Arabidopsis thaliana: one gene and its partners. The protein of the gene in region 3 interacts with the protein of the main gene of each other region in a pairwise test. Each region holds a gene or a part of one and is shown on either strand. Other genes may lie near its edges. The genes, in order: GDU4, GDU5 and LOG2.

Evidence for each region.
Region 1: the proteins of LOG2 (region 3) and GDU4 interact in a two-hybrid assay, tested with the Arabidopsis thaliana proteins (2 studies listed by BioGRID).
Region 2: the proteins of LOG2 (region 3) and GDU5 interact in a two-hybrid assay, tested with the Arabidopsis thaliana proteins (2 studies listed by BioGRID).

The regions. Positions count from the first base shown.
Region 1 is NC_003071.7:10,557,379-10,560,888, reverse strand, and holds GDU4 (glutamine dumper 4), read right to left. Parts: upstream 1,717-3,510; 5' UTR 1,411-1,716; coding exon 940-1,410; 3' UTR 650-939; downstream 1-649. UniProt on the Arabidopsis thaliana protein: Probable subunit of an amino acid transporter involved in the regulation of the amino acid metabolism. Stimulates amino acid export by activating nonselective amino acid facilitators.
Region 2 is NC_003076.8:8,582,874-8,585,866, forward strand, and holds GDU5 (glutamine dumper 5), read left to right. Parts: upstream 1-1,661; 5' UTR 1,662-1,791; coding exon 1,792-2,187; 3' UTR 2,188-2,424; downstream 2,425-2,993. UniProt on the Arabidopsis thaliana protein: Probable subunit of an amino acid transporter involved in the regulation of the amino acid metabolism. Stimulates amino acid export by activating nonselective amino acid facilitators.
Region 3 is NC_003074.8:2,995,543-2,999,876, forward strand, and holds LOG2 (RING/U-box superfamily protein), read right to left. Parts: upstream 2,714-4,334; 5' UTR 2,294-2,713; coding exon 1,791-2,293; intron 1,610-1,790; coding exon 1,102-1,609; coding exon of another isoform or gene 1,087-1,101; exon of another isoform or gene 1,016-1,086; coding exon 860-1,015; 3' UTR 637-859; downstream 1-636. UniProt on the Arabidopsis thaliana protein: Acts as an E3 ubiquitin-protein ligase, or as part of E3 complex, which accepts ubiquitin from specific E2 ubiquitin-conjugating enzymes and then transfers it to substrates (in vitro).

The DNA of each region.
Region 1 (3,510 bases), on a different chromosome or scaffold from region 3:
AAAGTAAAGCAGGCAAATGGGGCAAGTAATCGAATTATCTTTTGATTTATACCATAATATGTGTTTCCAATTTTTGTTTAATGAAAAAAAGAATATGATTCCTTTTCTTGTGACAAGACTAACTCACGCACATATTTTCGAATATTACGAATGTAAGTTCATAGTTAATAGTAATACTATTTCCAGTTTATTCACTCGTTATATAACAAGTATAGTTAAACAAGTATAGTTAAAATTTGACGGTGAACTAGATGGAGTCTCAATTAATTTAAAATATCCAAGTTGATAGCAAATTCAGAACTATCCTATGGTAAATAAAATATATAAATGCAAGGAAAATATGAAAGTAACACAAATACATGGAGGAGACACAATTATAACAATTCATAATTAAAGTAACTAAACGAATCTCCTTACAAAATATAAAATGTGAGAATATATACGTAATACAAAAGGGTTAATGCATTACATTAGTTTCTGAAAATGTATATAAAATTACAGTTTGTGTACGGGATGAATCACGTTTCCATCGAAACATTGCAAGCTTTGAATTTATGATCAATAGTGTTATGATACTTTTTTTTTTTTTTTTGGGCAAACATAGTGTTATGATACTATGATTCATTTTTTTGTAGATCTTAGTGATGACATAAAATTGTAAGAATTTTAAGTACTATTATGTTATTCCGTTTTAGTTTACTCTATTACTGATTGGTATTAAAGCTGTATGAGAAAGGTTACCTATCACACTTTTGAGAATTACAAAAACTAAAAACGAGTTTTCCACCATTGGGGATAGGAAATTACAAGCAAACATTCATTAATCATAACCCAAAATTTTCTCTCAGTAAATTTTACATTTCCCGTGAAAACACGAAGGAAAATTCCCCAACAAAAAAAAAAAGACAAGACTGAGAGAAGAAAAGAAAACAAAAAAGCTCACTGACTCGTTGTTTCTTCATTTTCTTTGGCTTTCTCTCTGTCTCCCATTTTCTCCTCTCCAGCACCAATACCATCCTCCTTGAAAATTACCATTCTACCCTCGTGACCGCACATGCATTTGTTCGCCGCCGGCGTGGCCAGAAACCTCGGCAAGTCATCTCCGGCCATTATGACAAGAACCTTCTCCTCGCACGCCGCGCTAGCCGCCTTCACTCCAGACCGACTCTCTTTTTCCTCGTCGACTCTTTCGCCGGAGTCATCACCGGAGGTTGACAAGCGCCAGTAAGAGCAGGCTAGGATAAGTAAAGCGAAGGCTATGAGGCCTAACATCGCCGCAAGACCACCGAATAGGTACGGCACCGGTGAGTGCCACGGCGATATCGGCGGTCGGTGATTCCCAAATGATTCTACTGATGTGGCATGTCTAGCTACATCTAACGATGTTGGTTTAATGCTCAATGGCCTCATTTTTTTTATGTTTCTTCTGTTTCTCTCAGATTTTTTCTAACTATTTTGTTTTTTTTGTTTTTCTAACTTTATATAAAGGAAAAAGTGAAGAAAGCTGGAAAGATGAATGAAACAATGGGTGTGGTGAGGTGTTATATTTATAGGTAAGAAGTCCCTGGGGAAAAAGAAAGTGAGTCACTCCGAATATTTAATTATTTGAATTAAAGCAGCTTTTTTTTTCATTTGCCGTTTATTACTTTTTAGTTTTGCCGCATATATTTGCATGCAATATTATGTACTCAAACTTACTTTGTTATAGACACATATATATGTTAAGGTGCTTGTTTTTTTAAAGAAAGATAGCGAACATTAATTACACAAATTTAAACTAGACACGATAAATTAAATTTTAGTATCTTTAAGAAACTACACTAAAAAAAACTTGAAAAATGCCTACAAGAACTACCGCAGATTGGTTTAAAATTTTTGCTTAACGGTTGTTGAAAAATATATAAATGGTGATTTTTAAAATCAAAAAAAGGATATCAATCATAATATTTACCAATAAATTTGAAACCATATGAACTTTGACATCAATCAACTACACAAACTACAATAATTGGGTATTAGACTTATAAGTCTTATATCCAATAATATGTCAGTGATAGCATGATATCGAGAAAGTTTTTGGAAAGACAAGGGGTTTCCTCTTGATGACTCTAAGATACTTTAAGCCAAATAGATCAATTTAGATAGATGAATAGTTTGGTTTCTGGAAGTGACAGAGGAATGAGAGTGAGAGATGGATTCCAAGACCCCTTACTCTCAGTTCTAATTTATGGCACGATATCTATCTTCTTGTGAGGACACACTATGATGCCTAATGGGGATTTTATTTTTTTGGGATCCCGCAAATTGGGAATCCAACTTCTCTCTTTCTTTTTGGATGAAGAAATTTTCTATCTCTCAATTTTTCTATATCTAAAAGTATTATAAAGTCTATCACTTAATATTTGTCATGTTATAGGTTTTAAATGGTAACACATTCTCAAAGCGATATAACTTGTACTATTTTGAGAGTTATCATTCGCAAAAATTAACTTTATCAAAAACATTACAAAAAGTTTTACTCTTAACTTTACTGTACAGCTTTCTCGTATAATTCTTTTGTACAACTTTGCACTATTCCAAAAAAAGTTTTGGTTATAGCTAACAGCTAAAATTTTGTACAGTTTTGTGTTACCAATCGGACTTATATAAAATAAAATAATCTCGAGTAGTCCAAACACAATTTTCAACTTAACATATCACCAAACTTTGCTTGAATTCAATAATTCTCCTTTTTTTTTTGCAAAGTAAATTATTTAATGTTTTACAATAATAATGAATATTAAAATCTGCACCATAACACATGGCTTAAAAAAAATCATGACTTAATATCGGTAGAATATTGTTAGTCATTATTGTTTAGAAAAACATATTTAGGGCAATAAAGATTTGGAATTGTTAGTTATAAAAGACTAACAAATTCAAAAATTTATTACCCTAAATATATATTTTGAATTATTTTAATTATTACAAATAAATTGATTTGATATTAAAATATATATGTTTTTGATTAATTGTTATTAATTTAAGAAAGTTAATTTAGTAATTTTACATATTAAAAATATATTTTTAAAAGAAAAATAAAGAAAAAAAATTTCAAAAGTGCAAATAAAAGTCATATGTGGGATTTTTTTTTTTTTTTTTTTCCAATTGTTACTATCACACCAACTACCGTGCACCAGGTGCACTACCTCAATAATCCATAAAGCTGTCATCATATTAAAATGTAGTGATCAGGTGCAAATTTGTGCCCCAAATGTTATAAACTTTTTCTTTTCTTTTTGTTAAAAGAATTAAGTTTATATTTTTTCACAGGTTCCATTTTAAAGGACCATGTCTGTTTTTCAAACTAAATTCTTACAAATATATAAGAAAGCATATTTTGGAATCATCTATGTATTCACATTGCGAACTAAAGAAGAGAAAAACTTAATACTTATTTTCTGTTACCCTTGAAACATAGGCGTTTATACCATTAAAATGGCAGAAAAATTATATCGACTAATGAAATTA
Region 2 (2,993 bases), on a different chromosome or scaffold from region 3:
GTAAACTCTCAAATTTCGGATATTACAACACATATGAATAAAAACATTACTCATAACTCATAAGTGAGTAAGAAAAATAACATAATCCAAGAATAAGAGCTAATCCATCTTATGGTTCACTAGACATAGTTTATTCATTTAGAGATTGTAGATATATGGTTTATATTAATGTTCAAATATTAATCTAACAATTTTGGCAATCGACATGATTAAAAAATGAAATATATTCTCTTCCAACTATGGATACAAATAAAATCTATGGATTGTTGTTGTGGAATATTAAAAAGTAAACCCATATATAATTTACTGTTAACGGCAAACATCATTATCCAAATAGCACCATCGAAAAGACACATATCCCTGGCTTAGCGTAATAACAAATGGCCATGTGAAATTCATGGGCCCGAATAAAACACAAAGCTGGGCCCTCTTAATATTCCTAAATCCAAATAATCATATAATTATGTTTTCTGTTTGTCTCTCCCAAATATGATGTCGATAAAATTATAAGGGTTCGAATAGTTGCGCCAGTTAGGACGAACCAATTCATTTCCAATTCATTTCCGGTTTATACTACTTTTCTTTAGTATTTATGAACTATAATTTGTTGTCGTGTAAAAAATAGAACAAGTATGCGGCAAACTAACTATAGATTGTTTTTACGTAGAAAAAAAGCTTGATTTACATCAGTTTATTGTCCGTTCCAAAAATAGAAAACATTTCTCTGCTTTTTTTTATTGCAATCATTCAAAACCTAAATTTATAATCATTTATAACACCAAGAACATATATAAATCATCTTCACTCATAAAACATAAACAAACTACTCTACTTACAATATGCATAACCTCCACTAAATATATATGCATCCACAATTTACAAAATCATCATGTGGAAATTATCTCATACTTTAGTGTAATGGTTTTAACTGTTATATCACTTATAAGAAATCAGCTTAAAATTACTCGTATATGGGGCTTGTAGACTACCTTAAACTCCAAAAAACTAGATTTTGAAGCTCTAAATTGATCAATTAAGATGTATAGTTGGCCACTCTTTCAGCTGATCGATCATGTATATATGAAACAAATCTACAACGAATAAGTAAAACAATATTGCTTGTTTTTCAAGACGCAATGGAATTCAAGAGATCAGTCAATTCTACTAATAAATAATTTTCTAAATAAACATGATAATTTATCTATTTTTGTAGTTGTCTTTTGTCAACAAATGTCATCTTCATAAATGATTTCTTTATCCAAAAAATCACAAATTCATTGCCATAAATAACATGGTAAGATCACATATTAAGTTGAACAAAAAAGGGATCACATTTTCAAATATCTACCTCATATTTTTTTTTGTTATAATTTCTGACACGAGGAGATTATGGAACTGTCTTTAACAAATAAAAAAAGGGATTACGGAATTGAGATCTTAAAGTTTGATTATCCAAAAAGGATTTTATAAACAAAAAAATCAAGGTATATATCTAAATGCAAAAACGTATGATTAAATATCTTCGAACCTGGTGCATGATCAAAGCAACGTAACGTATCATGAAGATTCCGTGACCCACTTACCTTCAATTTTGTTTTATAATAATATTGTGAAATATTTATTACATCTCTTCCCTCTATTGTTCTCTTCCAGTACTATAAATAAAATGTCAAACCACTCCAACAAAATCAAACTAGCTACACAGTTATAAAAAAAAAGTATAAGCTTCACAATTTTCAAGCTTCTTCTCCTCTGTTCTTTAACAAATCCAAGAATAAGAAATATAAAACAATGAGGCAATTTCCAAGCATAAGAGGAAACATAAATGAGAAGATGATGACAACAATGGTGGAGTCTCAGACACGGTCTCCGTGGCGTACACCGGTTCCTTACCTATTCGGTGGTTTAGCCGCCATGCTTGGACTCATAGCCTTTGCTCTCTTGTTGCTCGCCTGCTCCTACTGGAGGCTCTCGCGGCAGACAGAAGATGAAGAGAAACAGACGGAGTCCGGTGAGAAAGTGGTGGCTAAGGCTTTTGAGGAGAAGATTCTTGTGATCATGGCTGGACAAAACAACCCTACCTTCTTAGCCACTCCGGTCGCGGCCAAGATTTGCCTGGATTGTGTTAATATGGAGAAGAAAGAAGGACAAAATGGGGAATCTAAAGTAACAGAAGAAAACCACTGACTACTGAGCTCTGTTCTCAAGAGTGTACTTTTTTGGATTCTCTGTTTTTGTCGGTTTGTTTTTTGTTTGTTGGGGAAGTAGTTTTCCTCTGTTTTTGTCGACCTTGAGATTGTAAATTTTCATTAGAGTAGTAAATGTGAACAAAAAAGTTGAGAAATTTCGGGTTTCTATGTATAAATGTTGGTATATGAATATATTTTGCTAAATTAAAGGTATCAATGTGTCATTGTTTTGATCATTAATATTTCCAAATTAGTTTTGAGAGTATATCTATATCCTGCTATAGCTTAAAGATTTACTTGTAAAACTAAGAAGTTTAGCTACATTTTCATGGCCGAGTGGTTAGCACTCTAAGTTAGAGGAGCATATATTTGGCCAAGACCAGGGGAGTGATTTCCGTTCTGAACGTGTGAGCCATCACTGTGTCTACGTGACTACTGAAGACATCTTTACTGGTCAAAACACTTGATTTTTATTGGGTCCAAAATAAATCAAAATGACCCAAGTTAGCAAACAAAAAAAACAAAAAAAAATATTGTGTGATGGGAAATATGTAAACAAATGGAAGTTGATTTTTAGTTTATTTTGTAAAAGTTACATAATTTTAGTCATTTTTTATAAAATTAGAATGTTATTTTATCGGAGAGCTTTTTTTCCGAAAAGTTTTCTCTCTATACCAGCTCTTTTTCTCCTGGTCATTTTTTTCGACAAAATTGTGGCTCCGACTAACGTTCGTGGACTTCCAAAGCCACGACGTTGGTTCGGCTTAAGTTTTTAGGTTTGTTTTTTTCTTTATTTGGCTGGGA
Region 3 (4,334 bases):
AAATTGTAGAAAAGAAACGGCAGGAACCCTTTGGAGGTAAAAGACAAGTCCCTCTTTCTGGGTTCCTGAAATTGAGATATCTGATCGATCATACAAATTTCAATTCTTTTTGAGATTATATCACAATGTCCCATTTTCTCGGCCTAAATTTGGTCCGTTTATTTGTCCTTATTATTATATTAAATACTTGTTTATTACAGCCTCGTATTTGTATGTTTTGTCTACGGCAAGCATTTTAAATTTAAACAAAGAGAGAGACACAGATATGAGATGATTTTTTGGATCTGTCTCTCTCTTTTTTGGGATCATTTTTTAACCAAACTACGAGTCACAGATATGAGATGATTGATGTTTTAACGAAGCTGTGAACCGAATTTTCCAAAACATTGAAATTACACAAGTATGATGAACCTATTGTTTACGAAACCGGAAAACTCGGGCTTAGGGCCCAATAGTAGAGGCGGATAAAAAGAAATGCAGGCCCATTTGACCACAAAACGTTGGAGATTGCCCCTTTTAAATAAGAAACGAAGGGGTCAGCTATATAATTGAATGTCATGTTGCCGCTACTATATCTCGTGTTTTCCATGTTTAAGTTTCTGTCTTATTGCAACTAAAATGGCTTCACCTGCCACTGCAACTTCCGGTTGAGCAACTAGCTAAGTAAGAAACTGCCTACTTTGTTGTTGTATCTAATGAAGAATGTTTCAAGTATTGTGTCATTATGACTCCAAATGATTTCGTAATCTCTATATTATGAATTGACAATCACACATTTTGTTGTTAACATACAAGGATCAAACATGCATATACTACTAATATTTCGATGGCATTTCAATCCATACTCGGCCGTGTTTAGCTACTCTTGTTCAACTGTTTCTCCCTGTCCGGTGTTATTCCCGCTTCCGTTGTTACCGTGAACTTTTATCTCCAAAAGCCTTTCAACAGGTTGCCTGCAAATGGGGCATCGATTTGTCTGAAACCTCAATACCTTAGCACATCCGCTACACATACACTGCACCACCAAACCCAAACAATTTTTAACATCTATATATATGTCCATCATCACATAATAGTAGTAAATCATCAGCTTTCACTTACCATATGTCGACATGGAAGAACAGTGGTGTCTCGTGGTTCAGACAAACATATAACACATTCTTTACCAGGATCATTAGCATCATCAGCTGAATCATCATCCCCCTCAACTGTATTCCCAATCCCATAAATCTCCTGCAACTCATATCTCGTTCCATTAACCCATAGTATCTGCTTCACCACTCTAATCTTAATCTCTCCTTTATCCTTCTCATAAACCGCTTGAGTAATCTGCGCATTCTTCGACCCCGACCTTTCTTCTTCTTCATTCTCACCACCTGAGGGAGCTGCTTCTGCCTTAACCGCTAATGGATAGATCTCTGTGTCTGCGGCCGCTTTGAACAGCTCAACGTCCTCAAAGACCGAAAAGTCTATACCAGAACCAGATGATTGTTTAAACTTCTGACCAAGTCCTTTCTCGAAATCTAGAGTGATAGGTGGCAGTATATCTTCCTTTGTCGCTGTGAGTTTGCAATCTTCGGATTCTTTAGCAAAGAAAATGACACTAATCCTATTTTTCACAAGTCCAACATAATAACATAAGCTTAATTCAATTACACATGAAGAAGATTTGATCAAATTGCAATAAGAAGATCCAAATTACATAGTCACGAGGAAGAACACAACAAAATTCACGTGTTATCTGCTCAAATGGATCACGAAATCAACGAAAGGGAGAAAGTGAAATCTACCTTCCGGAGACGGTTGCATCAAACGTAAAGGAGACGAGAAAGCGACCCGGATTATCCGGGTCGGGTTCAAGCCTAAGAGACTCCTTCTTGAGATTAACGTCGTTACGAATCGTGACGGCTTTCTGGTGTTCAACGTAAGGAGTCGGTTGAGCCATCATGTGACCAGCATAAGGGTATCTGGCCATCGCCACGGGAGCCCAAGAGTGGTTGTGGTAAGGATGCGGTGGATGATGTTGGAGGTGGTGGTCGTACGGCGGAAGAGGCATGGCTCCCGGGGGAGGATGGTGGTAGTAAGAAGCAGGGTACTGGTAAACCGGATTAGGATTAGGATTAGGATAGGGAGTAACGGCAGCGAAAACGATGGGATTAGCTTGGATTTCTGTAGGTAGAGGTGGTGGAGGAAGAGAAGAAGAAGGAGGAGGAGGAGGTGGTGGTGGAGCCGCCGTATGGTTTCGCCGTCGACGGCGTCTACCTTCACCACCGCTGCTGCTAATGTTTCCCATATGTTATTGGCGTTAAACCCAGATCAAAAAGACAAGATTTTTTGGTGACCCAAATGATCAAATCTCAGAAAATTGCTAAATTTGTGGGTGGATCGGAGATTCTGGGGATTAATATTGAGTGAAATGTAAGGAATTACGAAAAGCAAAAGCAGAGAGAGTTTAGATGAATTAAGAAAGAAAGAAAATAAAAAGAGAGAGAGAGAGATAAGAGAGAATAATTTAGGAGAAGAAAGTGGGTAATGATATGATGAATGGGGTCAGGTTGGCCAAGAAGCTCCACCCATGAACATAAAACACCTCCCACCCTCCTTCGATGGTGTTTATGTTCCCAAAAAGCTTTCTTTTTTTTTTCTTTGGACTTTTTTTCTCCTTGTTATTAATAATTACGTTGATTATAAGGAGTTTTGTCTTTTCAAAAAACAAAATTCAACACGAGTACTTAAAAGAGTTGAGGTGTGTTATATGACGACAAAAATATAGAAAGAAAGATGTTATCTTTTTAATTAGAAACACATTCCCATTAATTATTAGAGCATCTCCATTTGAAGTATCTCAATAAGATACCCAATAAAAAAAAAAAATAATTAAAGAAGAAAAAGTATGATAGAAGGAAAAAAAAGTAGAAGAGAAGGAGAGTTGAATTTCTCTTCCGAGAAACTTTGAGAAACTATTCTCATCCAATTTGGACAAGTGTCATCATACTATTAATTCAATTATTAAATAATAATTAATGTATCTGTTTTAATTAAAATATTATTTTTATTTTTTTTTAGAATCTTTCCTTGTTTTTACTGATAAAGATGGTCTTAAGATTTTTATTTAGGTCTACATTAGGATTAATTTGTTCATGCTTTAAAAAGATGATGTTATTTTCAGAAACCATTAATTGAGAAATCCAAATATTTTACAGAGTGAAGAAGTTGTCGATCATTGCATAGTTCTGTCTTCTGTGTGATTAAAGAGTTAAAAGTCACTTGTGCTGTCCGAAATGTATACTAGGCAATAGGCATTGTCTACTTTCCGCTTCTAGACTTATATTGCCTAAATATCTACTAGTAATTAGTGTGAAGTTTAATATGTATTCCTAACAAAGTAGGCTATACTTTATTTTTATTTTTAACCTATAATAAACCTACTTTTTGCCAACATAATATTCTTATATACAGTAGTCCGAAAAGATGAACTGGTATTTTGGAATTCATATTTAAACTTGTTTTGTCGTCTTTGAATAATTGTGTATAAGTTTAACCCAAAACACAAAACAAAACTGATGTATACTTTAATGTCTTAAAAATTAGTGTTTCTACAAAAGCATAAGCTCCGTTGACCAAAAAGAAAACATAAGCCCTAAAAGAGTTTTTATATTTTCAAAACCCTAAGCTAATTTTTTAAAAAATTTGTATGAATTTAGAGTCAAGAGATCACCATTAGCTAAAAAAAACGTCACAAAGAATAAAAATATATAAACATTCTTTCAAAGGAAGATATATATATATATATATATATATATTCAGTAGCCAGATTAAACTGTAACTATTGGATGTTTGATATTACGTGAAATTATATTACATGTTGATTTTGATCAAAATCAAATTATATTCGTGATCATATACAGATAGATATCATATTGAAACATTCCCATACGAAGGTAGTGGTGCGATTCGAAATCAAAAATAAATAAAGAGACATAATAGAATCGCATACCTAACCACTCGCACACACTTTCATTAAGCAATTCCAAAAGACGAACATATATAAACTAAGAAAAATAAATGGGAATCAATTATAAAATACTCTATATATAGTGGGAAACGGCAGACCGGATATATCATCAAGTTGGATACATATGTTGTGTAAAATCTGTAAAATCAATTGTATCAATTTATAGTTATGTAGACCTATGATCGTGACATATATATATATATAAAAACTAAACTTTGTTCTCTGTTGAATGTTGATGCATCTTTGTTATAATTTACAGGATAACAAATATGACGTCGAACGTAGCATCTTCTTGGAACACTAATGTAATATACATATG